Callithrix jacchus: one gene and its partners. The protein of the gene in region 4 interacts with the protein of the main gene of each other region in a pairwise test. Links are inferred from orthologs where the notes say so. Each region holds a gene or a part of one and is shown on either strand. Other genes may lie near its edges. The genes, in order: TRIM29, RAB29, POLR3C, TRIM27, PIMREG, POLE2 and CCDC102B.

What was found.
Region 1: the proteins of TRIM27 (region 4) and TRIM29 interact in a two-hybrid assay, tested with the Homo sapiens proteins (2 studies listed by BioGRID and IntAct). The link is inferred for Callithrix jacchus from reciprocal best matches to the Homo sapiens genes TRIM27 and TRIM29.
Region 2: the proteins of TRIM27 (region 4) and RAB29 interact in binary tests that used the Homo sapiens proteins (3 or more experiments, as listed by UniProt). The two-hybrid records come from large-scale screens. The link is inferred for Callithrix jacchus from reciprocal best matches to the Homo sapiens genes TRIM27 and RAB29.
Region 3: the proteins of TRIM27 (region 4) and POLR3C interact in binary tests that used the Homo sapiens proteins (3 or more experiments, as listed by UniProt). The two-hybrid records come from large-scale screens. The link is inferred for Callithrix jacchus from reciprocal best matches to the Homo sapiens genes TRIM27 and POLR3C.
Region 5: the proteins of TRIM27 (region 4) and PIMREG interact in binary tests that used the Homo sapiens proteins (3 or more experiments, as listed by UniProt). The two-hybrid records come from large-scale screens. The link is inferred for Callithrix jacchus from reciprocal best matches to the Homo sapiens genes TRIM27 and PIMREG.
Region 6: the proteins of TRIM27 (region 4) and POLE2 interact in binary tests that used the Homo sapiens proteins (3 or more experiments, as listed by UniProt). The two-hybrid records come from large-scale screens. The link is inferred for Callithrix jacchus from reciprocal best matches to the Homo sapiens genes TRIM27 and POLE2.
Region 7: the proteins of TRIM27 (region 4) and CCDC102B interact in binary tests that used the Homo sapiens proteins (3 or more experiments, as listed by UniProt). The two-hybrid records come from large-scale screens. The link is inferred for Callithrix jacchus from reciprocal best matches to the Homo sapiens genes TRIM27 and CCDC102B.

What each region holds. Positions count from the first base shown.
Region 1 is NC_133511.1:19,784,170-19,788,763, forward strand, and holds the start of TRIM29 (tripartite motif-containing protein 29), read right to left. Parts: upstream 2,926-4,594; 5' UTR 2,843-2,925; coding exon 2,039-2,842; intron 1-2,038.
Region 2 is NC_133520.1:33,292,915-33,297,372, forward strand, and holds the start of RAB29 (ras-related protein Rab-7L1), read right to left. Parts: upstream 2,961-4,458; 5' UTR 2,895-2,960; exon of another isoform or gene 2,465-2,894; 5' UTR 2,463-2,464; coding exon 2,339-2,462; intron 2,326-2,338; exon of another isoform or gene 2,118-2,325; intron 1-2,117. UniProt on the Homo sapiens protein: The small GTPases Rab are key regulators in vesicle trafficking. Essential for maintaining the integrity of the endosome-trans-Golgi network structure.
Region 3 is NC_133519.1:8,270,136-8,272,895, reverse strand, and holds part of POLR3C (DNA-directed RNA polymerase III subunit RPC3), read right to left. Parts: intron 2,333-2,760; coding exon 2,182-2,332; intron 1,086-2,181; coding exon 984-1,085; intron 865-983; coding exon 815-864; intron 64-814; coding exon 1-63. UniProt on the Homo sapiens protein: DNA-dependent RNA polymerase catalyzes the transcription of DNA into RNA using the four ribonucleoside triphosphates as substrates.
Region 4 is NC_133505.1:2,069,984-2,074,347, forward strand, and holds the start of TRIM27 (zinc finger protein RFP), read left to right. Parts: upstream 1-1,353; 5' UTR 1,354-1,638; coding exon 1,639-2,085; intron 2,086-3,581; coding exon 3,582-3,677; exon of another isoform or gene 3,678-4,364. UniProt on the Homo sapiens protein: E3 ubiquitin-protein ligase that mediates ubiquitination of various substrates and thereby plays a role in diffent processes including proliferation, innate immunity, apoptosis, immune response or autophagy.
Region 5 is NC_133506.1:107,999,946-108,004,513, reverse strand, and holds the start of PIMREG (protein PIMREG), read right to left. Parts: upstream 3,140-4,568; 5' UTR 3,090-3,139; intron 2,580-3,089; 5' UTR 2,547-2,579; coding exon 2,253-2,546; intron 326-2,252; coding exon 26-325; intron 1-25. UniProt on the Homo sapiens protein: During mitosis, may play a role in the control of metaphase-to-anaphase transition.
Region 6 is NC_133509.1:84,150,922-84,154,783, forward strand, and holds part of POLE2 (DNA polymerase epsilon subunit 2), read right to left. Parts: intron 3,186-3,862; coding exon 3,013-3,185; intron 2,438-3,012; coding exon 2,348-2,437; intron 2,175-2,347; coding exon 2,120-2,174; intron 1,560-2,119; coding exon 1,500-1,559; intron 1,413-1,499; coding exon 1,335-1,412; intron 1-1,334. UniProt on the Homo sapiens protein: Accessory component of the DNA polymerase epsilon complex. Participates in DNA repair and in chromosomal DNA replication.
Region 7 is NC_133514.1:111,379,745-111,384,057, reverse strand, and holds the start of CCDC102B (coiled-coil domain-containing protein 102B), read right to left. Parts: upstream 2,904-4,313; 5' UTR 2,828-2,903; exon of another isoform or gene 2,547-2,827; intron 2,400-2,546; 5' UTR 2,274-2,399; coding exon 2,256-2,273; intron 1-2,255. Other genes in the region: protein disulfide-isomerase TMX3, read left to right, coding at 4,295-4,301. UniProt on the Homo sapiens protein: During interphase, forms fibers at the proximal ends of centrioles to maintain centrosome cohesion. During mitosis, dissociates from the centrosome following phosphorylation to allow centrosome separation. Contributes to CROCC/rootletin filament formation.

The DNA of each region.
Region 1 (4,594 bases), on a different chromosome or scaffold from region 4:
TTGAAAACCAAGAGTCTAGCCTCAACCTTTGGGAGACTGAGACTGATAATGGAAAGGAGTTATTCACAGACTCACAGCTAGTTAGAGGCAAAAACTAGGACTGGAAACTTGGTCACATTTCCTAAAACCTTGTCTGAGGCTCTGCAGTTTCTCAGCTGCTGTGATGAGGAGGACGGCCCCTTGTTCTGCATAACCTCACAGCAAAGCTCTCTAAGAATGAGTTTCAAGGCCCCTGTCCCATCTTTGTCTCCCAACAAAGCTTGAGGCCACGCTGGGGTCAGAAGATGGGAGAAGCTGGAAACATCGTCTTCCTGGGCCAAACAAGGCTTCAGGAAGGGATCTGTACATCTGTTCCCCTCTCTACCTCCCCCCTTTCTGTCCAGATGGGCAGGGTGTGGGTGAGAGATGAAGGGAGAGAGGATTAAAGGAGCAGCTCCCCCTGATCAGGAAGGCTGGGCAAGGAGGAGTCCTGCGCTGTTCAGATCTGCGGTGTGCAGAAGCTCTTCAGAAAAGCGGAGTCCACTGCTTTAAAGGCCAGGAAGGTTTGCCCCCTGGAAGGCCACACCAGAAAATTATGTACCTTAGGGTAGAGTGACCCCCTCATCTGTGGGGCACAGGGCAGTGGCCACAGCTGGGGTCTCTGTCCAAATCACCTTCCCCAGGTATGCTACATCCACAAGCCTGCACTCGCCTCTGCTCCTTCCCATAGAAGTGCATGCACAGTCACATACACCAAACTCATGCAAACACACTTACATATCACATAGACAAATACAGGCAAACATCCACAAAGGCACAAAAACACCCACGTGCACATAAAATACACACATATGCAGCTCCTCAACTTCTGATGGGGTTATTTCCCAATAAACCCATTGTAAGTTGAAAATGTGATAGGTCAAAAATGCATTTAATAACCCTAGACTACCAAGCATCATAGCTTAACGTAGCTTACCTTAAACATGTTCAGAGCAATTGCATTAGCCTACAGTTTAGCAAAATTTTCTACTACGAAGCCTATTTTGTAATAAAGTGTTGGATTTTATGGAATACTGTACTGAAAGCATAGCACTTTCACACCAACATAAATCGAACCATCCTAAGTCAGGGTTAGCTGTAAATGTACACACCATCCACACACAAACTCCAAACCTCCCCAACAGTGTCCAGCTATAGGAATAGGTGTGTCCACACCCAACCACACACGCGAAACGCGGGGCCCAGCTGAGAGACGGATAAAGGAGGCTGTGGAGAAGTCAAGAGACCAGCTGGGGATCCGCTAGAACAAGCAGCCACTGTAGCACAAATAAAAACTGCAAAACAGCAGAAAGGACATTTTGGTGGGCCCCAAAATTCTCTCCTTCTGGTATCTTTACTCACCTACAATCCATTCCTCAGGAGCCAATCCCACTCAGGTTGGAGGAATTGTCTCTTCTTTAAAGCCAAAAAGAAAGAAAAGAAAGAAGGAAGGAAGGAAGGGAGGGAGGGAGGGAGGGAGGGAGGGAGGGGGAGGGAAGGGGAGGGAGGGAAAGAAAAAAAGAGAAAAAATAAGAATAAGAGGAAGGAGACAGAGAAGAAGCGGGGGGGGGGGGAAGGAAGAGGAGGGAGAGGAGAAGAAAGAGAAGAAGTGAGAAGGAAAAGGAGAAGGAGAAGGGAGGAGGAGAAGGAGAAGGAGAAGGAACACCCAGCCAGGCACAGAGCCCAGGAGTGAGTTATGTGCCATTGGGTCTTACTCTCTGACCCAACTTGAATTTATCCTATGACTTTGATCAGGCCCCCAATCTTTTCTGAGTCTCCATCTGCTCATCTAGAAAATACCCCTGTCTCCTGAGACCTTAGGGGATTGGAGAGCCACCTCTGATCCCCAGCTGGGGTTAGGGGCAACAGGGGGCATGAAGGGAAATAAATGTTTACTAAAAGAGCCAAGGACAGTAGAGGTTTAAACCCCAAACACCAGGAAGCCCCATTGGAGAAGATAAGGTAGGAGGGTCAGGGTGAGGGGAGAGGCCAGGAGGGGCAGGAGGGGCCCAGCACGCACCTCTTTCTCGGCCTTGGCCTCCTCCACTGTCACGGTGCTGTGATTCTTGTGCTCCTGGAACATGCAGAGGTAGCAGATGCAGGTCTGGTCAGTCTGGCAGAAGAGCTCCATAGTCTTGCCATGCATGGGACACTTGCGGGCCTCGAAGTCCCGGATGGGCTCCAGCAGCTGGTGGTCTCGGAAGGCGGCGCCCTCCAGGTGGGGCTTGAGGTGCAGCTCGCAGAAGGAGGCCTGGCACACCAGGCAGGACTTGACCGCCTTCTGCTTGTTGCCAATGCAGGAGTCGCACAGCACCTCCTCGGAGCTGGACTTGGCCGGGGAGAAAAGGCCCGTGTCTGCCCGGGGGTAGCTGTTCCGCCGCGCCTCCCCGGGCTCCACGATGGACACTGAGGGCTTCCGCGGCTCCGAGAAAATGGACTTGCGCAGCTCGCCTTTTTCGGCAAAGGTGACGGGCGGCTTCTTGGCGGCCCCCAGCTGGAGCCCTGCGTACGGTGACCTCTTGCCTTCCAACGAGTCCATGCTGAAGTAGTTGGAGTTCTTGTCGTCGCCCGACTCGACAAACTGGATAATGGGTCGCCGCCACTCATTGCCCGCGAACAGGGCGCTCCTCCCTTCCCCTGGCTTCAGGGCACTGCCCAAGCTCTTGCCCTCGGCTGCCTCCCCGCTGTGCCCGTTGGTGGTCTTGGCATCCTTGCCGTCGGCCTTGGTGCCATTCTCCAGGCTGCCATTGGGACCCGACGGGCTCCGAGCATCCCTGGCTTCCGGGCTCGACCCGTTGCTCCTGGAGGCATCAGCAGCTTCCATCGCAGGGGGGCTCAGCTGATCTGTTTCAGGCTTGCTGGGGTTCAGGGTAGGTGACCTTGCTGGCGGGTGTCTCGGCAGGGAGTGGGGCAGGCAGCCGCAGGGCCCAGAGACACACCTGTGGGGAGGAGGAGGGGAAGGAGGTGGAGGGGAGGAGCAGCAGGTACAAGCCTGACACAACGGGCCCAGGGAGAAGCAGGCAGCCCCGGCAGCCAGCAGAGCAGATAATTACACGGGAGCCACGCCCTGTACAGTCATCCCTAACCTGATTTTTAAAAGAAGTGTTTTTTTCTCCCCCAGCTTAATTATTTTCCACAACTCAGCAACCAGTTGGGCTGCTTCCCTCTGACGCACTTGCTTCTCATCGGGGGAGCGGGGAGCCTCTGTCTTCACAGGTGGGCAGGCTTCACTGAGCCCAGAGGCCCCTGGGGCAGAAGATGAGGTGTCTGCAGAGGCCTACGGGGCACAGGGCTGTTAACTGGGTCACACAAGTCAAATAGCCTTGTAATTTGCGGGCCTGAGTTTCAGAAGAAAGATGGTCCACCCTGGGACTGTGGAGCTGCTTTTCACCACAAGCAGGGAGGATGGGTTCCGTTTGATTTGGCTACTGGTTACTGAACCCTACTTGACAACCTCCAGGCACATTCCTAGGTACTTAATATATATGACCTCATTCGAGCATCCCTAAAACCTGTTCAATTACCCCTTTTTAATAGATGAGAAAACCGAGGCTTTAAGAAGATAACTCACTGCCTAAGTCAAGTGGCAGAGCTGGGATTTGAACCCTAAGCCTTTGAGATGCCAAAGTCCCTTCTGCAGCTGGGAGGTCATGGAGTTACCTGAATATCTCACCAGAAGATGGCTTCTGAGAGTCTGACCTATCCCAGTGGCCCTAATAAGATACATGTAGACCTTAGATTATTGCTATCAGAGCAGGCCAGACCCTTCATGGATTCAAAGGACTGAGGCACGGGAATAAGGGAATCCAAGCAATGCCAGGCCAGGTGGTTGGGTTCTCAGGGCCCAAACACTTGACTCACCTGTCTCCACACTTGCCCTTCTGTGTGACTCAGAAAACATCTGCCCATCCTCTCTGGGCCAGGCCACAGGCAACGTCCTCCAAAAAGAGGCCAGTGAAGTGTGGGATTCAGATAATCTCAGAAGTCACCGGTTCAAATATGACTATCATATAAATACAGACCTCAGGAAGAAAAGTGAGGAAAACAAATGCTATCCCCTTCCCCTCCCTGGCCCCTGCAGAACACCAGGGACCCTCAGCTCTTGTAGGATATGCCCCGAAAGTCACTTCTGGGCTCTGACCCACTGGCCTCATCCTGGGAAGCCTCCAAACCCCCAAGGAAAGGGCATGCCTCTCCAGGGCCAGGCTGGGTGGGGCAGAGAAGACAGTTGGTGAGGCTGGCATGGCAGGTTCTGGGCTATGTGGAGGGGAGTGGGTTTCCCGTCCTTCACCTCAAATCCAGGTCAAGTCAGGAAGCCCCCGCCCCTTTGGCTGACCAGACCTTTAACAAAGGTAATCCTTTGTAAAAAACAGCCCCTGGGAAAGAGGGCAGAGACAAGCCCAGCTCACAGAGCAGCTGAGTTCTGAGGGGATGTATGTGGGGTGGTGTTGGCATGGGGAGTGCTGGCTTTATGACGGGGATTCCCCTCTTACTTGAGGTCTCTGTCTGTGGCCCCAAAGGAGCCCTGTCTTGTGTGAACTCACTGGTGAATTGGCTAAGAGCTCATCGGGCCTTC
Region 2 (4,458 bases), on a different chromosome or scaffold from region 4:
AAATGGAAAAGGTCCCAGAGGAGTCCCAGGATGAAGACACTGCATGGATGTTGCTGAATCTACCACCAAGTCTGCAAATGCTGACACTCCTTGAGTTAAGGCTGGGTGAGTATTCTGCGGGGAAAGCTTTTGGATAAGGAGAGAAACAGTAATTACTGAGGTTTGGAAACATTATCTTTCACATCTGTGACAGGAATCAAAGCTAAGGGAAATTTAGAATAAACACTGAAAAAAAATTAGCCAGAGTTAATTATGTTCTTTGCTAAAGGAAAACTATAGCAATTATTAAAAATTAACTATTAATAGGAGGACACTTTTAACTCAAATCTGTGAAATCGGGACCTTATGTTATTTAGGAGTGGGAGGGCTGAGTGGTCAAGATAGAGCGTCTGAAACGTTAAATCTTTAATTTTGCCGGACGTAAATTTCTTTATTCTTTTGCTTTTGAGACAGTGTCTTGCTCTGTTGCCCAGGCTACAGTGCAGTGAGTGGTGTGAACAGGGCTCAATGAAGTCTTGACCTCCTGAGTTGAAGCAATCCTCTCGCCTCAGTTTCTCGAGTAGCTGGGACTACAGTTACTTTTTTCTTTAATTTTTGTAGAGGTGGGGTCTTGCCATGTTTCCCATGGCTGGTCTCAAGTAATCCACCTGCCTCAGCCTCCTAAAGTGCTGGGATTGCAAGTATGAACCACCTCACTGGGCCCTACTGTTTTTTTGTTTTGTTGTTTTGACACAGAGTCTTTGCTCTGTCATCCAGACTGGAGTCCAGTAGTGCGATCTTGGTTCACTGCAACCTCCGCCTCCCGGGTTCAAGAGATTCTCTTGCCTCAGCCTCCAAGTAGCTGGGATTACAGGCGTGTGCCACCATGCCCGACTAATTTTTTTGTACTTTTAGTAGAGATAGGGTTTCACCATGTTGGTCAGTCTGGTCTGGAACTCCTAGCCTCAAATGATCTGCCCACCTTGGCCTCCAAAAGTACTGAGATTACAGGAGTGAACCACTGTGCCCAGCCCTGCTGGGGGTTCTTAAGGAGAATGTTTCAGTTGCAATGTAAATGCTTGTTAATTTCTTTTTAAACTTCCATATGAACACGAGCACACATTTTCAATTTTTCCATTAGTACAAGTTTCCTCCCCTTAAGTTATTTTAACAGAGATAATTTTTTTTTTTGAGACAGAGTTTTGCTCTCAGGCTGGAGTTTTGCAGCCAGGCTGGAGTGCAATGGCGCGATCTCGGCTCACCACAACCTCTGCCTCCTGGGTTCAGGCAATTCTCCTGCCTCAGCCTCCTGAGTAGCTGGGATTACAGGCACGCCCCACCATGCCCAGCTAATTTTTTTGTATGTTTAGTAGAGCCGGGTTTCACCATGTTGACCAGGATGGTCTCGATCTCTTGACCTCGTGATCCACCCGCCTTGGCCTCCCAAAGTGCTGGGATTACAGGCTTGAGCCACCACGCCAGGCCTAAATAAAATTTTAAGTTACTCTTCCCCCATCACCAGCTCTTTCTAGCTAAATACCTTCTAATTAACAATAAGGCAATTCTACCTCTGAAAAAACAGTTGAGTCCAAAGGCTACGCCCGAGAAAGAAATGACGGTGTTCCCTTCCTCCCTACCTTCTCCAGTTTGAGGGGAAAAGTGGTGGGAAGATAGATCAGAGAAGTGGTATATTTCACATTCTTCGAAGACTTCCTTGGTTACCTTTATTTAAGCAATCAACGGACAAAAACAGCTCATCAGCCCTCACGGGCATCTGACTGCGTAGCCAAGGAGCCTGTTTGGGGATTTTGTGTCTTCCATCCCACCCACAGCCCCATAACTGAGCTAAAGTTCTTCCGACCACTTCTGCTTCCTGCGTTCTCCCCCAGAAGCCAGGTTAAACACCTTGCGGTTCCTTCCTCAACAGAGAGGGGCAGGACAACAGCCCCAGACTGCAGCTAACCAGGAGGCCCTACAGAGGAGAGGATCTCAGCTGCTTCTGCTGACTGGAGAGATTTGCCCCTGACAGCTGAAAGGCTGAGGCAGGAGACTTGCGTTCACAGTGAGCTCGCAATAAACAGCAATTGCTCATCCTCAGCCTCCCTTCCCTATTCTCATCGTCACTCCTTAGCTCTTACCTTTCTCCAGGCAGTAGGTTCAGGTTAGGAAAATCGAACTGGGGAAACCCAAGAGAGGCGTGTAAACCAAATACCCAACAATTACTCCATCCAGATTCCCAGACACTACTTCCTGGCCCGAAGGACCCAACAACCGACTGCAAATCCCCATCCCACTTGGGTCCCCAGCTCGAGTCCGCGGTCGGGGCCTCTTCCGACTCCTCCCCCCAGAGACGTCTCACCTCCCACCGTGGACTTGTAGTGTTTGCTGAAGCTGTCCTGGGAATATCGCTGCACCAGCGACGTCTTGCCCACTGCGGCGTCCCCCACCACCAGCACTTTGAACAGGTGGTCGCGGCTGCCCATGGCTAGCGGAGTGTGCGTTTTAGAGAGGCGGAAAGTGGGAAGTAGCTTGTTTTAACCCCTTTGGCTCCGGACCCTCTTCAAACTGAAGTGAGGCATTCCCACCCACCGCCTGTGAGGGCTGCTCTGACGAGAAAGCAAAAAAGGAAACTTTGCACTCAACCTATGTGCGCTTCCTCCCCGGGCAGCCACAACCTGGGTGGGGCGCAGGGCGCGAGCTCCGTGCCCCGGCTGTTCGCACCTTCCCCCCTACCCCCCTACCCGACTGCCGAGAAACGGGACCAGGCGCTGCGGAACCTCACCCACCGGGACTTCCCCGGAGCGGCTCCAAGCCAGCAACTGAATCCCAGTCAGCTCATTACACCACTGGGGCCAGATGATGAGGACCCTCCCCTTGCTGCACAAATCAAATTGTGAGGAAAAAGCAGCCGGCACCTTGATTCCCTTGACCCCCCTCCCGCGCCTCTCTCGCCTTCCTCCGCAAGCGTCACGTGCAGGGTTGCCTGGAGCACTACATTTCCCAACTATCCTCGCGGTAGAGAGAACTAGCCGAGTGCAGAGGCTTACCCGCGAAGCCTCCTAGGAAATGTAGTGTATTCATTTTTTTTGTTTTAAACCAACCTACACAATGTTTCAGGGCTTCAAACTCCTTCAACAGTTCGGAATCTTATTTTGAAACGGTTCTGGGTCAGTAAAGATCCCTTAAGAGATTTGTGCAACGTGATCTCACTGGCCTGAATCTGTCCCCAGACAGTTTTCTCCTGTCTTTAAAGGTTTTGCGTAGTTAAGATTAAAACTTATTTCATTAATAAAAGCCCAAGCATCATAGATAATGCTCCAAGTGAAGTCCATTTCCTATTCCTTCAAATAGACAGACAAGCCCAGGACCTCGTGAAATTAATCATATTTTCCGTATGAACGTGCCCAATACCAGGCAAGATCAGGGAAATTTGACCCAAGAGACCATTCCTTGGAAAAACCTATGCCAAAAGTTACAGCATTTAATATCCAGCAATAACAATAAAGATAGACAGAAAACAGAAGACAGTCCCCATTCATACTTCTACAATGCCTGTTCTAACCATGCTATTCATGTATCATTTGAGCTAGAAGCTAATTGAAATACACTGGGAATCGCTGATTTGTTGTGGCTGTTGTTAACAGATCATCATAAAACTAGGGTTTGACAAATAATTCTAATTTCTCAGCCTGTAACTTTACTGACCTGCCTGTCATTTAGGTAGGAGTTGGCAGGACATGAGCTCAATGGCAAGCAAAGAGAGTTCCATTTTCTATACTTTTTCTAGGAATTGAGGAAGAGAACCAGCAAGGCCATGTGAACAGCCCAGGACCAGACACTATGGAGTCTTGCTTAGGTCTCTTGATAGAGAGGCTATCACTTATGTTCTGTGGGGAAAGAGCATGAGCATGGTCCACAATATATTTTGCCCAGAATGTTTGTTGCCCAGGCACAGGAGGTTAGGCCAGGCTACTCACCTTTAAGGATCCAGTTTTCTCTGTTGCTATTTGCTTTGACATAGCTGACCACTCCTTGACATTTGTTTCCCATATGCCTTCTAGGACACTGTTCTTTCTTTTTCATCCTCCTACTTCTCTGATGATTATCTTTTTCTCTGAGGTTTCTCTCCATCCCATTTCCCTCTAAGTGTTTCCTAAAGCTTGATTCTTGGTCTCTGAGACAATCATTCTACAAACTCTTGAGTGAATTGTCCTTGGTGTGAAAGATCTATCTTCACTTTATTTGTTCTTTATCTTCGATCAGTGATATTCAGCTTCCCAAAAGATGCCTTCACCTGGATGTCCGGTCACATCCTCCCTCTTATTACATCACCACAAAAATAGCTCCTTTTCTCAGCTTCCCTATTTCTGTCACTGGACTCATCATTTCTTCCCTCCATGTAGACTTCAGATTCTGAGCATTATTATTTCCTTTATACATGTCCCTTTATACTCTTTTATTTATTTATTCAAGTTTTTG
Region 3 (2,760 bases), on a different chromosome or scaffold from region 4:
GCACCTGTAGCCTGCATAGATGCGATGATGGCCTCTACCCTCTGAGATTTTTCTAGTAGACGCCTGTCAAACAAACACAACTCTGAGACATGTTTCCTAACCTTGGAGATTCTCTTAGCATTTATCTCTGAGGCACAACCCATCACTCTTTTACCATTTTCCTGGTCAAAGTAGATGTCACCTTCTAAGGACATTTTCTAGAAACTTATTTGGAAATATAACTTCACTCGTGAAACTCTTACTGCCTCTCATTTGCACTTAAAGTTTGGTGCTTCTGTACATTTCTCATAAATTTAATCTGAAAAAACTATTTCATTGGGAGCGTATTAGAAAAGTGTAGCCTATGCATGATTTATACTAATCTAAGCCAGTGATTCAATGCAAGGACACTGGTTGCTATCTCCATTGTTTCCTATTCCTCAGAATTTTTTTTTTTTTTTTGAGATGGAGTCACACTCTGTCACCCAGGCTGGAGTGCAGTGGCATGGAGTGGCTCACTGCAACCTCCACTCACTGAGTTTAAGCAATTCTCCTGCCTCAGACTCCAGAGTAGCTGGGACTACAGGGGCCCATGACCATGCCCAGCTAATTTTTGTATTCTTAGTAGAGATAGGATTTCACCATGTTGGCCGGGCTGGTCTTGAACTCCTGACCTCAAGTGATCCATCTGCCTCAGCCTCCCAAAGTGCTGGGATTACAGGCATGAGCCACTGCACCTGGCCCAGCCTTCATTGGTTCCTGTTTCTATAGGAAATTTCCCCTCAGGCCGTTGACCTTAAAAAATGTAAATAACTCAACTGAAAATGTTACTTACTTGTTCTCTTTGGTTTCAAATTGCCTCCTTTCTATCAAGTTGGCTATGCTCTGAGGAAAGAGAAGACAGACAAGAAATGCACATAGTTCAATTTCAGCAGCTCAGGTAAAATGGGTGAAATGGGCATATGAGGGGGACTTGTCCATGTGGAGGCAGCAGACTGGGTTACCTTGTAGCACCTGTGCAGCAACATTCGGGCAGCTGACAGGATGTTCACAGTATATAAATAGAAGGTCCTGGATGGGGCATGGTCTGGTGTTTTGGGAATTTCCTATTTGTCCAATAGAAAAAAAAAGTAACAAATTATATTGTTTTGGAACTGGCAAGGTAAACACTCATTCCATCTGGACTTACTCAACTCTCTTTTTCACTTACATTTTCATGTTTCCTAGTCATTCAGTACCTGTGTTTATTTATTTACTTTGAGACTGGGTCTTGCTGTTACCCAGGATGGAATGTGGCAGTGCGATCTTGGCTCACTGCAACTTCTACCTGGGACTCAAGCAATCCTCCCACCTCAGTATCCTGAGCAGCTGTAACTACAGGCATGCGCCACCATGCTCAACTAATTTTTTAATTTTTTTGGCGGGGGAGGAGACATGGTCTCACTATATTACCCAGGCTGGTCTTGAATTCCTGGGCTTAAGTGATCTTCCTGCCTTGGCTTCCCAAAGTGCTGGGATTACAGGTGTGCCCAGCCCAGTCTCTGTGGTTTATGTCGTAATTAATTAAACGGAGAGCTGGGCTTCCCTGTTTTTCTTTTTTTCCCATTTGACTGTCAGCATCCTGAATGGAGAAGAAAGGGAAGGTAACTAATATTTACTGAAAAATCTGTGTACCAGGTAAATTCTATATGATCTTTACAAAAAACCTTTTTTTTTTTTTTTTTTTTTAATACAGAGTCTTGCTTTATTGCCCAGGCTGGCGTGCAGTGGCACAATCTCAGCTCACTGCGACCTCTGCCTCTTGGGTTCAAGAGATTCTCCTTCCTGCCTCAGCCTCCCAAGCATCTGGGATTATAGGCACGTGACACCACCCCCAGCTAATTGTTTTGTATTTTAGTAGAGACAGGGTTTTACCATGTAGGCCAGGCTGGTCTCGAACTCCTGACATCAAGTGATCTGCCCGGCTCGGCCTCCCAAAGTGCTGGGATTCTAGGCGTGAGCCATTGTGCCCAGCTGCCTCTTTCTTACTAGGGCAATTAAGGCTCCACATCTTCCTCTAAGTGCTTGCTACATCTCTGTGAATCATGTTTTCTGTCTCAGAGCTGGATATAGAGTTTGCTTGGGATTCAGTATGTTTGCCGGAGAAGCTTCTCTCACCCTAGGCTAGCCTGTCTGGTTGGCAGTTGTTACACCCTTGGTTACCTGGAGTGATATAAAATTTTCTGAGAGCATCTTATATAGCATATCCTTTGCCTCCTTTGCAGGAATCATTGCAAAGTCTTCCACTTGCTTCTGCTCCAGGTGTTTCTTCTGCAAAACTAGACGGAATATTCTAGCACAGCGAGACCCAAATCTGGAAAAGAATGAAGAAAGCAAATGGCATGCCAACACAGGAGAGTAGCTTTAGTTCCCAGTCATAGATGGGGCGGTGTTCTATCCCATGTGTGGAACCAGGACCAGAGAGGAACAGTAATAAGAAAACTCTTCCACAGCTCCACAGGTTGGTAACTGTAAGTCATCACCAACTGCTGACCTCATCTGAGTGCCATAGTTCCTACATTTGTAAGCAAAGGCTTTAGGGAGCCTGGCTAATTTGCATCACTAGGAACTAAACAGTAGGTTATTTTAGGGTAAAGAGCAGCATTACATGAGATCCACAGGACTCCAGTGAAAAAGTGGGGCAAAGTGTGCCAAGGTGTGCTTATACTAGTTGCTTACATAATGGACAAATTACTTCAGTGGGGATAGGAAGTATCTGATCCCAAACCCCATCAGTGTCCC
Region 4 (4,364 bases):
AGCTAAGGCAGAAGAATTGCTTGAACCCAGAAGGCGGAGGTTGCAGTGAGCCGAGATCGTGCCATTGCACTCCAGTCTGGGTAACAAGTGAAACTCTGTCTCAAAAATAATAATAATAATAATAATAAACTTACTTTCACTTTGAAAAAATAAAAATAAAGTGATCATCTGGAAGCAGAAGCCTGTCTTGCTCAGACAGCAGGATAATTTTGAGAAAAATTTCAAAGAAAACTAGGAAACGCCAGTAAGGGATAAGAACGTAACATAAAAATGCTGGCGGGGGCCGGGCGCGGTGGCTCACGCCCATAATCCCAGCACTTTGGGAGGCCGAGGCGGGTGGATCACGAGGTCAAGAAATCGAGACCATCCTGGTCAACATGGTGAAACCCCGTCTCTACTAAAAACACAAAAATTAGCTGGGCATGGTGGCGCGTGCCTGTAATCCCAGCTACTCAGGAGGCTGAGGCAGGAGAATTGCCTGAACCCAGGAGGCGGAGGTTGCGGTGAGCCGAGATCGCGCCATTGCACTCCAGCCTGGGTAACAAGAGCGAAACTCCGTCTCAAAAAAAAAAAAAATGCTGGCGGTCTGCGGCCTCCAAGACCCTGGGTCGATGCCTCAGAAAGGAGCAAGCAATTTGTAGTTGCTACTCAGCACAACAACCCTATGTAGTGGGCATTTTATTACTATTTTAATGGATAAACAACCCTATGGTACAAAAAGTAAAAGATGTAAGGAAATGTACTTCTTACTGCGGTACAATTATCCCCATTTCACACGGGAGAAACTGAGGTAAATGAATGGTAAACCAACTTGCCTGAGCACAGGAGAGAAGTAGCAGAACTGGGCTTGTTATTGCAACACAGAAACGTTACCGTCTGATATCTAAACGAAACTGCAGGTGCCTACAAATGGGGCTGCTTAATAAAAGGCCCCACGTCTCAGGTGGGCTAGTCCGCAACCCTCATCCTCCAGACTCCGGGGGAGGCCAGATGTCTCCGTTCGTTCCTCGGCATCCACACAAAGCCTGCTTTCTTCTGCAGGGCTGGGACCCAGGCACCAAAAGGAAACCGAACAAAGACTCGGGGCCCGGCCCGGCAGCCGCGGAAGCCTATAGGCCCGGAGCGCGTGGCCAGGAGACCCGGTCGGCGCCGCGCCCGGAGACAGCGCCGGCTCTCGGGCCCCGACCCCTAGGCTGGAGCTTCGGCGCGACCGGGCCAGGGACCGCGGCAGAGCCTCCTCGGCCTTTCCGAGAAGAAAATCCCAGGCCCCGAGGCCACGAAATCTAGCCTCTCACTGGGAGCGCGGGCCAAGCCCCGCCCGCCGAGCCGCCTCTTCCGCTCGCGCCGGGGTGGGGTCTGCGCGGCCGCCGGGACCCGCTTCGGACGCGGCCACGTTGTCTTGCGCGCCTGCCCCTGGGCTTCTGCCCCTCGGCGACCCGGCCCTGCCCCGGAGCGTGTTCGCGCCTTCATCGGGGGCCCCGGCGCGGGGAGCGGCGCGGCCACCTCGAGTCTTCGCGGCGCGGGCGCGTCTGGATCCGGGCCCGGGAGGCGCCGCCCTCCGCCCGCCCCGCGCCTCCCGGGAACGGCGACCGGAGAGCGCGGGAGAGTTGGGCGCGGCGCGGAGCTCGGTCGGGGCCCATGCCCGTGCGCCCCGCAGGCCCCGCCATGGCGTCCGCGAGCGTGGCCGAGTGCCTGCAGCAGGAGACCACCTGCCCCGTGTGCCTGCAGTACTTCTCCGAGCCCATGATGCTCGACTGCGGACACAACATCTGCGGCGCGTGCCTGGCGCGCTGCTGGGGCGCGGCGGAGACCAACGTGTCGTGCCCGCAGTGCCGGGAGACCTTCCCGCAGCGGCACCTGCGGCCCAACCGCCACCTGGCCAACGTCACCCAGCTGGTGAAGCAGCTGCGCTCCGAGCGGCCGGTGGGCCCGGGCGGGGAGATGGGCGCGTGCGAGAAGCACCGCGAGCCGCTGAAGCTGTACTGCGAGCAGGACCAGACGCCCATCTGCGTGGTGTGCGACCGCTCCCGCGAGCACCGCGGACACAGCGTGCTGCCGCTCGAGGAGGCCGTGGAGGGCTTCAAGGTGAGCTGGCGGGGCGGGCGGCGGACAAAGGGAGGGGGAGAGCCCGGGGCGTCCCTTTTCCGCCCAGAAAATGGCTGAGCCGGACGTGGGGCTGGTTCGCAGCCGTCATTTCCTCCCCGTGCGCCCCGGAGCCTCCGCGCTCGGATCTGGAGGAAAACCTGTGGCTGGCGAAGAAGCCACAAGTCCCCCCACCCCCACTCTCCTCGCTCCGTGTGCCCCCGAGTTTCCTGCCTCGCGGGCGCGTTGTACACGGAGACCTTTTGACAGAATGAAAGAAGCGCATACAACCCGCGCACATCCGCAAGCTGGGGACACGCTCCGCTCCCACCGGCTCGCAACAAAACGCGCTCAGACGTTCACTGACTCACGGCCATTCCTTAGTGTAGAAGCATTTTCTCTAGCACTTTCGTTCAGTCTGCCCGGCTCTAGAAGCTCACGGAAAATAACAGCTCTTTGGTGCTTGAGTAAGTCGTTTAACTACTCTAGGACCCAGGAGATAACACAGTCATGAGGAAGAACGTGGAATCACAGGACGCTCAGAGCCCTCTGCTAACCGGCACAGCTAAACAAACAGTAACGTGCAGACAAAGTGTTCCAAATAAAACACTTGTAAGGCGCCCTTCAAGGAGTCCATGACACAATTATTTGTATCTTGAGGGCTTCAGTAATGCATACACAATTATGTCCCTGTTTAATGGGAGTACATTCATGTGTAATCCCTTAACATTAATGGACCTTTCAGCTATATTATTTCACTCACTGGTGATACATCTTGAGCAGGTTGGGAAGATGGTGTTTGCCCATGTCACACCTGAGGAAAATAAGTCACCTTCGCAGTATGCCTGTGAGGAAAAGCTCCAGTACCACACAACTCTCAGCCTCCTGCTCCAGTCACATTTCCGCTAAGTCATGCAATATCCGACCAGGGACAGGTAGATGACTCATTGTTTAAGATAGACACAAATAGTCCTGACGCAGTAGCTGAGTGGTTGAAGCCACAGGCTGCTTAGATAGACACAAAATGCCAGAGGCGAGGCTTGATGGCCCCTGTGCCCTGGGTCTTAATCTTGTGGGTGGCACTGTGGCCTGAGGACAGGACCAGACAGGACTTGGCATCAGGTGTGTGGACTCCATCTGTGATAAGAATGACCATGCTATTGGGTGAGGTGGCTCACACCTGTAATCCCAGCACTTTGGGAGGCTGAGGCAGACAGATCACAAGATCGGGAATTTGAGACTTGCCTGACAGACTTGGGGAAACCATCTGTACTCAAAGTACAGATATTAGCTGGGTATGGTGGCACGTGCCTGTAGTCCCAGCTACTCGGGAGGCTGAGGCAGGAGAATCGCTTGAACCTTTGAGGTGGAGGTTGCAGTGAGCTGAGATTGCGCCACTGCACTCCAGCCTGGATGACAGAGTGAGATTCCGTCTCGATGACCATGCTGATGCTAAGGTCTACTTAATTTTGAACTGCCATCTGTTTTGCTTTTCTCAGGAGCAGATTCAGAACCAGCTGGACCACCTTAAAAGAGTGAAAGATTTAAAGAAGAGACGTCGGGCCCAGGGGGAACAGGCACGAGCCGAACTCTTGGTAAGGGTTGTCCGAATTCACAGTCGCTTCTGCTGGTGCTCCCCTCTTCTGTAGAGCTGTTACTTCCCTTAAACTTCTCCAGCAAGTCATCCAGAACTTGTAGGTAGAGGTGGATCAACCGCACATGGCGGGGGATCTCACCCTGAGAACTGAGAGATTCCCTTACTTTTGGGGAAAGGATGGAGGAGCCTAGTTTGGAACCCCTGGAAACCAGACCTGTCAATAAAGCTTAACCTGCTAACTGCATAGACCACGGTTGATTCTTGGCAAAACTGACATAGATAACTTTATTGGGTACAGTCAGCTCCCTTTGTTACCATTCTGCAGACGTCCTGTATAAGGCCCACTGTTGCTTCTCTCTGGGTTATTCTCCTTGACAGTGCCTTGATTGTGGAGTTTTTACTCTGTTCTCTTCTTCCAGCCTCAAGGCCTTGACAAGTGGCTGATGTGTTAATTCATGATAGAGGTATTTAGGATTTTTTTTTTTTTTTTTTTTTTTTTTTTTTTTTGAGACAGGGCCTCACACTGTCACCAGTGCAATGGCAAGGTTTCGGCTCACTGCAACCTCTGCCTCCCAGTTCAAGCAATTCTCCCACCTCAGCCTCCCAGGGAGCAGGGGCTACAGGTGTGCACCAACACACCCAGCTAATTTTTGTATTTCTAATAGAGATGGGGTTCCACCATGTT
Region 5 (4,568 bases), on a different chromosome or scaffold from region 4:
GCCCCAGGGTGAGGAACTGTCCTACTTGCCTGGGAGAGCAGAGGGGCTCTGTAGAGGAGTACGGGCTCCGGAAGGCTGCCTCCCGCCTCGACCGCCGTAACGGGCGGGCACATGAGCCCATCTGGGCAGAGAGGCAGTGATGCGCCTTCTCCCAGGGGCCTGAGGGTGAGTAGGCAGGGGTGGCTCCAGACAGCCGGGTGCTCTTCTGGCTCAAGCTGTGAGTTGGGGATCCACTACCCTTCTGTGCTCCTCTCTTCCTCCTCCTGGCCTTCACCTGGGTCTCCACCAGCCACTTGGTGCCACTTTGGCAGGACTCCTGGATTCTCTGGAATAGGCAAATGGAAATGTTAGCACAGACAAAACCAAGGGTGAGGCTGGGCGGCGGTGGCTCATGCCTTTAATCCCAGCACTTTGGGAGGCCAAGGCGGGCAGATCACTGGAGGTCAGGAGTTGGAGACCAGCCTGGCCAATGTGGTAAAACACTATCTCTACTAAAAATACAAAAAAATTAGCTGGGCATGTTGGCGGGCTGTATCCAAGAACCTGTAATCCCAGAATCCCTTGAACCCAGGAGGCAGAGGTTGCAGTGTTGCAGTGAACTGAGATCACGCCACTGCACTCCAGCCTGGGCGACAAAGTGAGACCCTGTCTTGAAAAAGCAAAAAACAAGGGTGAGCTACCACCACCCCTAGACCCAACAAGTGTCCTGTAAATACAGGCTGCTGTTAGTCTCCAGGGTGAGGGATGTGAATGACTCCTCGGGAAAGGACTCCATGGCAGGGATCCAGCTCAGAGCTTTTGGATATGACAGCAGCAGTCAGCAGCAGGATGACCTGCCCTAGTGCATGGAGCCTGTTTGTCTAACTCTCCTTCCAGATACAGATTGACCCAACGACTGTGGCGGGGGCGGGGCAGAGAAGAGCAGGCCAGCCTGCCTACCACCCCCTGCATACCAGGAGAGCATTTGGGTGGATCACGACGCAGTTAGGAGATCAAGACCAGCCTAGCTAACATGGTGAAACCCCATCTCTACTAAAAATACAAAAAAATTAGCCAGGAATGGTGGCACACATCTATAAGCTCAGCTACTTGGGAGACTGAGGCAGGAGAATCACTTGAACCCGGAAGGCGGAGGTTGCAGCAAGCCGAGATCACGCCACTGCACTCCAGCCTGGGCAACAGAGCGAGACTCCATCTCAAAAAATAAAAAAAAAGTTTCCAAATAAGGACTAACATTTGGCTCAGAGAGCTCTCTGCAGAGGGTCTAGAAACAGCCACCCTCTCCGCTCATCTTTGGAATTCCCAGTGAGACATCGAGGAGAAACCTCTGCAGTCTCCAGTCCTCTCACTGAAGGTCCATTCATCCTAATGGCTTCTGTCCTTTCTAAGTGACCCCTCTCTACCTCCAGCTCTGGGTTGAAAGATGCATCCCTTAAAGGGCCCATAGACACTTACAGCCAATATAAGGATGTCTTCCTGCCAGCACCTCTCATTTCACATTAAATCCCCTCTAATCAACCTTCTAGGCAGTTCCCGAAGTTTATCCCCTGCAAGTCCAGACCCTTAGGTCCCCCTTCAGGAGCTTCTCTGCTTCCATTCCCTTCTCCATTATGTAGCTAAAGGGCAAATTCTAACATGCTAATTAGACCAGACTTTCCATTGTTTTAGAATCCTATGGACTCCCACTCCTGATCACTCCCGGGAGAGTCTAAGCTCCTTTATATCCTTTCTCCCTGCTCTACCTTGCCCTGTGTCCTTTGCTCATTCCCACACTAAAATTCTGGCTCTCCTCAGGGGTCCATGGCTGAGTGGGCAATCTTGTTTTTCCTCAGCTCCTCCTGCTCCAGGCCTGGACTTGAACTATTTCCACTGCCTTAAATACCACTTGACCTTTGGCTTCCCTGGGTGAACTCTGGAGGCACCTCCTCTGGGAAGCCTTCACCAACTAAGCTTTCGTTTGGTGAGCCCTTGCTATTGGCCACTTGCTTGCAATTTCCTATCACATACAGCTCTTATCACCTGGTAGTGTGAGCATCTGTTTCCTCCAAGACATGCTTTCATTCATTCATTCAACTATTTGTTGAGCACCTATACATGCCAGGAACTATTTGGGGTGCTAGGGAAACAGCAGTGAACTAACCAAAGTCCCTGTCTTCATGGAGTCTATATTTTTGGAGGCTCTTTGAAGGCAGGAACTGTCTGGCACCAAGGAAACCCTTCATAAAAAAGATGGTTAGTATTGTCGGTATTACCTGGGACATTGCACCCAAGGCACTCTTAGCTGAGCGAGCTGCTGCCTGGAGGCCCTGCTGCCCTGGCTCTGGGGTTTCCAGACGTTTCCAGGAGGGGCCTGGGCGGAGGTTGAGGTTGACGGCTTTCAGGGGCAGCCTCCTTTGGAACTGTCTGCACAGGGACCCCAGGGCCCCGGAGGAGGTCTCCTGATGGCCGGCCACAGGCTGCAGCTCCTTGCTGTCCTCCAGCTGCTCTTGGTGCTGGAGAGATCTCCGGCGCACGGAGGTCCCCATGCTCTGCCACCGAGAAGCCATCTGCCAGGCCAAGTCTTTTCTGCCCACTACACCCTGGGGCGGAGGGCAAAGAGCAGGTCAGCAAGGCATTCCGCATCCCCATTCCCAGGCCCCACAGAGACCCTGGGCACAGGGGAGGAGATGGGATGCAGCAGGGTGGTGGGGAAGTTTGCAAGTGTGGGTGCAGAAAGGAAGATGCTTCCTGGAAGAGGGGTCTCAGGTCAGCAGGATTTCTGCTGTCCAGCACTTTAAGTTTCCAAAACAGCTGTCCTTTCATCCCAACCTCCTTCCTCTCTCTGCCTCAGGCAAGGAGGGGAGGCAGGATCAGGACACTCCAGAATCGAGCCTCAGCGCCGGGCCCAGGACACGATTACCATCTCCTTCACCAGCTCGGCCAGACCCAACGCACCACCGCCCAGACCCCGGCCTTCCCACCAGACGGCCCCTCGCCCTATTCCGATCCGACGCTTGAGGTACCCAGACGCACCCCCACGCCGTGCATGTCCGAACCTGAGGTCCTCCTGCTCTGAGCAGAAGCCCCACCACGGTCCCGCCCGCACTCACCAGACACCAACGCTGATCACACCCGAGCACGGCTGCTTCTCGCCCACTGCAGCCGATTTGAAACTCTGCGCGGCTCCGCCCCGGCCCGTCCTCCCAGCTGATTGGCTCCGTCCCCGTCCCCGCCGCCGGGCCGGGCATCCAATTGGCTCCCTCTCTAGCGGCTGCAGATGCTGCGCTCGGATTGGCCCAGGCGTCCCCATTCATTGCTCCGGCCCCCGCCCGGCCTCCAGCCTCGTGGCTCCTGGCTTTGTATCCCGCGTCCAGCCTTCGCGGGCCCAGCCCCCGCCCCCGCCCATCGCACGCCGGATCCCCTCCCAGGAGCGCGCAAAAGTCCAGGCTGCTCTGACCCATGGGGTGGAGGCGGAGGTCCAGCCACCGAGACCTCCTGGCTCAGGCTCCAGGCCCCGCAGCGCCAACCCGCCAAGGGGCCTGGCTTTTCCTTCTTGCTCAGTGGTTCTTTCAGAAAGAGCCAGGCGCTGGCAGCGCGGAGCCCTGGGTTTTCCAGAGACATTTTCTTTCAAATTTCCCTCCTGACCCTCCCTTCCTGTGACAAGACACTGCCCCTCTCGGAGTTCCCCATACTCGCCGTCCACACTCCGCCCCCCTAGAAAACGCGTCCTGGAAGTGGGGATAGACCAGAGGATACCAGTCTGCCCTCCTCCCGCCCACCCTGGCTCTCTGCCCGCGCCTTGCCTCTGGCATCCCTCCCTCCCTCCAGCGGAATGCCTGTCTCTCCTCTCCTTAGCATCCAAACAAAACAAGCCATTAGAAAGCTCTCTCCAACCCATCCTACTCCTTTCGGTGACCTCAAAGCAGCGCTGCCCACTCCCCCGGTTAGTTTCTTTGTTACTTCTCCCGCACAAGAGACTGAGATGATGGTTCCTTGAGGCTCTGTCTTCAACCCTCTTCGTTTCTGGGTGGTCTTACCCACTTTGACGTCAGTGATTTCCCCCCAAAGGATGATGATAAGGATGATGTGTATATGACACTTAGTATGCACAGGTCCTGGTGTTTCAGTTTATTAACTCATCTGACCCTCTGTTATGGTTTGACCATGTCCCTCAAATTGCAAATGTTGGAAATATAATGCCCAAATTCATATATGGGTGGCATTTTTTAGACATATAAATTGTTACTTATTCAAATTATACAGCACTGAAAAATAAGTGAATTGTAACCAGATCACTCTTATTTAGCTGTAACTCTGTATCTTTTAACAAATCTCTCCCATTCCTTCCTCCCACCTACCATTCCCAACTTAGGTGAATATCAGAAATATCATGTTAGATTTGAAAAAAAAGCAATATGCAGAGTATGACACCGTGTAAGTCAAAAGCAAAAAACTAAACAATATGGTTTAGGAATATACAGACACATTTGTGGACAAAGGTATTATGGAAAGCAAAATTATGTAAGCACCAAAATAAAATAGGTAGTCATTTTTGGAAGGGTGACAGGAGAAGAGGATGTATTGAGGGA
Region 6 (3,862 bases), on a different chromosome or scaffold from region 4:
ATCCCAGCTACTCAGGAGGCTGAGGCAGGAGAATTGCCTGAACCCGGGAGGCGGAGGTTGCGGTGAGCCGAGATGGCGCCATTGCACTCCAACCTGGGTAACAAGAGCGAAACTCCGTCTCAAAAAAAAAAAAAAAGAAAGAAATAAAGTGCACAGTAAGTGTAATATGCTTGAATCATCCCAAAATCACCCCCACCCCCTTGGGGTCTGTGGGAAAACTGTCTCCCGTAAAACCAGTCCTTGGCACCAAAAAGGTTGAGGACCACTGGGGTAGAAGGTCGTGGAGGTGGAGGTGTAGAGAGGTAGCACATTCTGGATGTAATCTGAAGTTAATAGGACTTCCTGAAAAACTTTATGTGAGAGAAACCCCAAAGTTTTTGGCCTGAACAAGTGGAATAATTATTGTTCAGGCCATGAAGATGCCATGAACTAAGATGGGGAAGTCTACAGACGAGGTTAAGGGCACTGGTGGGGAGGAAGATCAGGAGTTCACTTAAGTTAGGGTGGTGATAAGTAGGCAACTGGATACCTGAGTCTGGAGTTTGGAAGGAAGGTTGAGGTGGAAATATAAATGTGAGAGGTGTCAATACACAGATGATACTTAAAGCCATAGGACACTAGAGAAGGCCAGCAAAGGAGTGAATGTAGGCAGAAAAGAGAGGCGAACCAAGGCTGACTCTTATAGTATTCCCACAGTAAGAGTTTACGATTACAATGAGCAATACCAACAGTAAATAAGTAATCTTTGTATTCTTCCTTTGTAACTTTTCTTAAAGGATGTCTAATAAGAATATCTATTTTTAAATCTCTTTCCATTATTCAAGCTTATGAATTCATTACCAATAAATTAAATATAGTTAAAATATTTTCAAAGTTTTGAGAAACCTCCAATATAGAATAAATACAAAAAATAATTTTTTTGTATTTATTCTATAATAGTCAAAATTCAGAGACAGATTTTAGGAATCAAGTTAGTTTTTGTTTGTTTTGGTTTTTTGAGACAGGGTCTCGCTCTGTCACCCAGGCTGGAATGAAGTAGTGCATTCTGAGCTCACTGCAGCCTCTCCACCTACCAGGATCAAGCAATCCTCTCACCTCAACCTCTTGAGTCGCTGGGACCACAGGTGTGTGCCACCATGCCCAGCTAATTTTTGTATTTTGTAGAGACGGGGTTTCACTATGTTGCCCAGGCTGGTCTCAGAACTCCTGAGCTCAAGCGATCTGCCTGCCTCAGCCTCCCAAAGTGCTGGGATTATAAGCATGAGCCACCGCACCTGGCTGAGTTAATTTTTAAATGAAAGGAAAAATGTGTAACACAAAATACTAATTCTTACCTGCAAGGATTAGTAGTAAAAACTGAAAATGGTACCCTTTGTCTGAATTCATTAGTGATGCTTTCAGCAAGTGGTGGCCTAAAAAACCAATTTATGTGATATGGTTTATCTCTTTAAATTTTACAGAATTTTCTATACTGTTGCAAAAATTTGAACAAAACTTACCTTGGTAAGATGGAACCAAATCCAGGATCCTCTGGACCAGATACAAACACAAAACGACTACTGTAGCAAAATTCAACAGAATTCATTTTAAAGTATTATTGTAACACTATCCAAGGGCTTAAAAACAGTTTATTCCCTTTGTTTTCACTTTAAAATTTAAAAAGTTTAAATTTCATGCATTATAATAAACGAACTATTAAATCTCCAGACCAACACTGTTTAGTAATATGACAGCAAAGTTCTGTATCTGTACTGCCCAACTGAACACTTGAATTGTGGCTAGCATAGCCGATGGACTGAATTTTATATTTTAGTTAACTTTAATTAAACTTCAAAGAGACATGTGGCCAGTGACTATCATATTGGAGAGTGAAGCTCTAGACCCTTGGAGTAATGTCACAAAGAAATTCCAAATTATGGCTGAAATTATCTCTATCTCTTTCAGTACTTTTCATTATAAATCTCTAGTACCATGTACAATGTGAGGATAACTTTATCTCTTAGCTCTTTTAATTTTCTCAACTTTATCTTTCTTAGTTTTATAATAATTGCTGATAAAACAAAATTCACTTTTTTAAAGCAAAACTGTGAAAAAAATATATAGTGGTAGAGATCATTACCTTTGGTGAATATCTGGGTATTCACATATTATATCTGCCAAAGTTTTTAGGGAATCTAAAATTTTAAAAGAGTATTGTATTAAATTTGCATAGAATGCCATAAAAATTATATTTGATTAGATACAACTCTGTATATGCTGAATGAAATTAAAATATTATGGATAATTTCTTATTACTTTAGTTTATATGACTATAGAAACACTTCTTATTAAATTAGACCCTTAATACCTTTCAAAGCTTGAACTTGATTTTTTCCATATGGTGCAGATGAAAAATTACCACACAGAATAAAACAGGTTGGAGGTGCTGGTGAATAACCTAAAGAATAAAAGAGTAAAAGAACAATACTTTTCTAATCTACAAATCAAGTTAAAAACCCCTTAACCATGAATTTTTAATAAAAATTTATTATTTTAATGAAAATAACATTTTCATAACATTAAAGTAATAGAAATAATAGTACCCAATTATTGAGTACTTACTATAGGCCAGGCCCTGCACTGGCTTAATTCATCCTCAGAACGTCCATATAATCTGAGACTTGGGTTAAGTAACCTGCCCAAGGTAATAGGCTCGCACTTAAACCCAGGTTTGTTTTTGCTTTTGTTTAAAGATGGGGTCTCACTATGTTGGCCCACTGGTCTTGAACTTCAGGACTGATTCTTATTTATCATGACTATAAACACACACACACACACACACACACACAGGTTTTTCTCAATGTAAAAATTTTGGTCTTTAAAATAAAATCTAATTTAAATTATATCATTGCTAACCCAGTGTAGTTTTTTTTTAAAATAGAATACTCAAAAAGATAAATGTAAAAAAAGAACTTAGTTTTAAGACATGAACCCTCATAAGAGTTCACGAAAGAAAAAAAAAATAAGACCTACCAGAAAACATTATGCGAAGTTTTTCCAGTACTTCCACTTGGTCCAACCAAACATCAGATAAAAACACAAACATAGCATCTTTATTCTCCTCTTCTAGTTGTTTTAGTTTTGCAGAAGTCTTCACAGATGTATTAGAAGGCCCTCCAAAAAAATTAATACTTCCATAGTATGCCCTAGATAATTATAACATAATTAGCTTCTGTATACAACTAGAGATATTTTTCTAATAATTTTATAAATTTAGCTCCTTTTATCTAATGAAGTTATTTTCCAGTGTAAATAGGTGAAAATGTACTCTTTGTAACACTTTAAAAGTACAAGGTTATCGAAATATTCTAAAATAAGAAGCAATACAGAAGCAATAAATAAAATATTTAATAGGCTATATCTGTTTCTTAAAACTAACTAAAGCAAACATTAAAATAATAATTTCCTATGTTGCTGAAAGTAGGAGAAATGAGTACACCATTTGAACGATATCTAATAGAAACCTCAAAATATGTGTTAACCATCTATCCAAGCAATTCCACTTCTGGAATGATTAATCCTAAGAAATTAAGGATATACACAGAGACTAACCTATATTCCAGAACTGTGAAAAAATTATTCGACAGTTCCTTCAAAGCTCGGTTTTATTCAATGCTCACCAAGCAAGGGTCAGTAGGAAAGTGGATAATATACACACTCCCAGCCTCCACCACTTCTGCCCACTCTACACTGACATCTTGCAGTTCCCAGCTTAAATGCAAATACTCCAGAGGCCTCCTCTGAGGATCCCAAAAGAGGTTAGATTTCCCCATTATACACTCTTGTAGGAACCTGCACTTCTCCTTTGCAGATCTTATCAAAT
Region 7 (4,313 bases), on a different chromosome or scaffold from region 4:
ACCTGTACCTCGACTTTTAACACTATTGATTAATTTGCCTGCTTTTGAGCTTACGTAAATAAAATCATATAGTATCTTTCTTCAGTTTCTGGCTTCTTCTGTTCAACATTTAGTTTATGATTTGCAACCACACAGTTCTCCATACAAAAGTTCATTCATTCTCATTACTATATAGTACTTTACTACAGGATAACAACACAATTTATCTATTCTACTTTTACAGATTTGAATTGTTTAGCTTTTCACAATTGCAAACAGTCCTACCATAAACAAGACACCTGTGTATATGACTTTTGGAAAGCACATGTGTCTTACTTAGCCTGTTGATGCTCTGTAACAAAATAGCACAGACTTGATAAGTTATAAATAATAAACATTTATTTCTTAAAGTTCTGGAGGCTGCACATCAAGGAGTCAGCAGGTTTGATGTCTGATAAGGGTTTGCTCTCTGCTTCCAAGGATGGTACCTTCTTCTTGTGTCTTCATATGGCTTAAGGTTGAAGGGGAAAAGGGACTAAGATAATCCCTTTGGTCTCTTTTATTAGGTCTCTAATCACATTCATGAGCGTTCCACCTCATGATTAAATCATGCACAAATGGCCCAATCTCTTAATATTATCATATTGGCAATGAAGTTTCAACATATGCAATTTGCGATACACATTTAGACTACAGCCATATGTAGGCAAAATATATAAGGCATGTATCTGTACAAGTGTAGCTTATCTGAAAGTCTTTTTAAAGATCTTGTCAAAATAGTAGAACCTTTTAAATAACAAAAAAAGTGATCACCACTTGAGGTAGATAAGCAGGAAAAAAACACTTAAATTTTTGAACACTGAATATGTTTTAGCATATGGAAATTTAGCATGTTCTCTGAACAAAAGGCCTAAAAAGTCTATTGGTTTATTAAATCATTTTCACATTAATGCATAATTTTGAACATTTTCACATTGCCTGCAATGAAAATATCATGCAAAGCACATATGTCATTATAAATTTTCTTGGAAACACAGTGAAATATAAAAACAGGTGAAATTAATTCTAATAATTTATTTTATTAACTCAATATATCTAAGATATAGCTAAGCTATAGGCATTACAACATATAATCAATACAAAAATACTGAGACATTTAACAGTTTTATACTGCCTTCCAAATCCAGTGTATATTTTACATTTATACTATACCTCCTTACAACCTCCCTAATTTCATCAGAAATACGTTAATTGGTATTTATTTTATAGAAACATGGTCTAGCTCTGTTGCCAGGCTGGAATGCAGTGGCACAATCACAGCTCACTGCAACCTCAACCTCCCTGGCCCAATTGATCCTCCCACCTCAGCCTCTGGAGTAGTTGGGACCACAGGTGTGTGCCACCACACCTGGCTAATTTTTAAACTTTTTGTACAGACGGGGTCTCACTGTGTTGCCCAAGCTGGTTTCGGATCCCTGACCTCAACCAATCCTCCTGCCTCAGCCTCCCAAAGTGCTGGCAAACAGTTAAGAGCCACCCACACCTGGGAAATGATCAGTTTTTAGATTTCATAAAATTTACAGTTGAAAAAGTAGATTCAAATATCTCAGTTGTTCCAATCATATTAAAAAAACTTTCCAATAACTGAATCGAGTGTCAGTTTTTTTATTTCCTAAAATTAAAATTAAATATTCAGTTACTTCATGACACGGCATGTTTCAAAAGCTCAATAGCCACAGGTGGTTAGTGGCTACACTATTGAAGAGCACAGATCTAGGTTAACTGGTTTTTGTTGTTCTCCACATGCTAACTTAAACTGTAATGCAAATATGCAAAGAAATTATTTTATTTTGCATGCTGTGGAAGACAGAGAACTTTGAAATACATTAGAATGGAAAAACAAACTGAATATGGGTCTTTCAGAGATACTGCCAAGAGAGTAGAAAAGCTTCTGTAGAAGAGTATCAAGTCCATGGTACTATTATAAAGCTGTTTCACCACCATTGAGAGAACATTCCCGTCGCTTCAACAGTCCCCTTATGTTTTAGTCTTTTTCTTTAAAAAAAAAAAAAAAAAAAAAGAAAGGAAGAAAAATTGAATCTGCAGAGGGCTTGCACTGGATACCATGCTGTATGCCCAAAAGGGGTGACATTTAAGGCTTGCTCTCAATTAGAGTGTAATTTAATCTTCTAGTCACTAGGAATAACAATGTTTTAGAACATTTCCGCCTGTTGGAATTTTGAACCTAAGGTGAACCGGCTGACATCATAACTTACCCTTTCTGTTGTTCTCATAGGTTTTCAAAATTTGATCTAAATCCTCTGGTACCTTACGTCCCATAAAAATTTCATCTAATTCAGAAGTAGCGACTGCTGCAGTAACCTCATATAAAAGAAATATGGGTTTTACAAATCATTGTCCTGTAGAAAAAAAAAAACAGGTAGCAATATGAATATTTCATACTATTTTATTTAATTCCAAAGTAATCAGAAAAGTCATAAAAAATCCTAAGCCTAACTTTATGTTCTCAAGTTTCAAGAGAAAGTTTTTAAAGAGGCAATCCTTACTTTGGCAAAAGTGCATTAAAGCTTGCTGCATTTAAGAGATGTCCCTTTATGCAAACAGGTTGAAAGACGATTTCAAAAACGCTTTGGAAAAACACAGAGTGGCGCGCAGCTCAGCAATCCAGTCTTCAGGCGCGCCTCTTTCCACAAATTTGATCCAGCATTAAAACGCACAGGTGCACTCACTGCACGGGAGCAGCAAGCAAATGATGTGCCAATATTCATCCCGTAAGTGCGTCGTGGGAGTCTACCTCGCCTGCAACCTAACTTTCTCCAGTATTCACCTTTCCGGAAACGTGCCCCCGTGAACAACCACCGCTTTCCCGAATAAAGCCCGCACGCTGGGTTCCCACGCTCCTCAGGAGGGGCCGAGGGCGCAAAGGATGCTGAAGCACACGACAGCGCAGACGCTGCCCTCCCGGCGCATGCGCCGCACTCCGCGCATACTCAGAGACGGAGACCGGCGGGGTCCTGGGAGCTTAACGGAGGCCGGCCTGCCCCGCCCCCGTATTCTGAGCGGAGCTTCTCTTCCGCTCTGGGTCAGCTCCGCTTCCCTTTCCTGGCGGGAAGGCAGCGGACACCGGTATCTTTTCTCTCTATTGCACAGAGTCAGCTTCTGCAGCTCTCCCAGGCTAGCATGGCAGCCTGGAGGTGTCGGGCCGCCCTGCGGCTCTGCGCCACAGGTAATGATCGAGCAGAGGTCGCGACGCCGGCAGGCTCTTGGGACCTGGCCCGCCGTGGGGCCGGGATTGGGCCCGGGGCTGAGGCGAGGCCTGTGGGGTCCGCGGAGACGCTCGCACGGTCCCGCAGAGTCCTGCCGCCCCGCCACGCCGACCTGCCTGGCCCTGACGGAGTGGATACCTGGGGGTCTTTCCCTTGCCCCTGTGCGGGGCCAGTGCCGGGCGCGGGAAGGGCGCGCTTCCTTGTGTCTGTGTTTTCTTCATTGTGGCAGGAAGTTTCAATAAAGCTCACTCCTTTGATGGGCAAGAAGGATGCTGCCGTCCCAGCTTAACCGCCAGATCTTGCCTTGGCTTTAGGTTCTGAGTCTTGTCACGTTTAAGGCTTTTTACCACCAGGGCTCAGATCAGGGTCAGGCCACCGGGATTGTGCGGTGTGAAACACTCAGTGTGTGTCCGCTGTTCTCAGCTCCCTCTCTTCAGCCCTGGGTGCCTTCGTTCTCACTGGGGTCCGCTCACTTAGCAACCTTTAAGAGCCCATTCTGTGTCAGGCAATGCCCTGTATTAAGTATTAGAGTTGCAGCTCGACTTTGATTTGTTCTAGCCGTCTATTTCAGGGGAAATATTTTGAATGGCATTTGTAATTTTTACTGAAGAGATCATTGCTACTAAAACAAAAGAAATATAGAGGAATGCTGTCTGCCTGTATTCCAAAAAGACAGGATGGTAAAAAGGAAAAGTAAGGTGAGAGTTAAAATACGTAGGAAAAAGGAACTCTGTGTTTATTAGATTTATGGGCTTACTAGAACCTGGCCGGTCATGATATGGTTGCATACAGACTAGATGTTTATTAAATGGATGAACTACTTCTGCTTTTGCATCATTTGTACCGTGGAATGCATCAGTGATGAATTTTTTGGTAGGTTGCAAAAGGTCAAAAAACACTTCAAAGATGACTAAGCTTATGCAGTATGAGCCAAATAATCAGCATTTATTGTGTACATTTTGTCTTTTTCTTTTCTTCAGTTGTTTTACTTGATATGGTCGTCTGTAAAGGAGCTGTAGAAGATTTAGATGAATCGTGAGTATACAT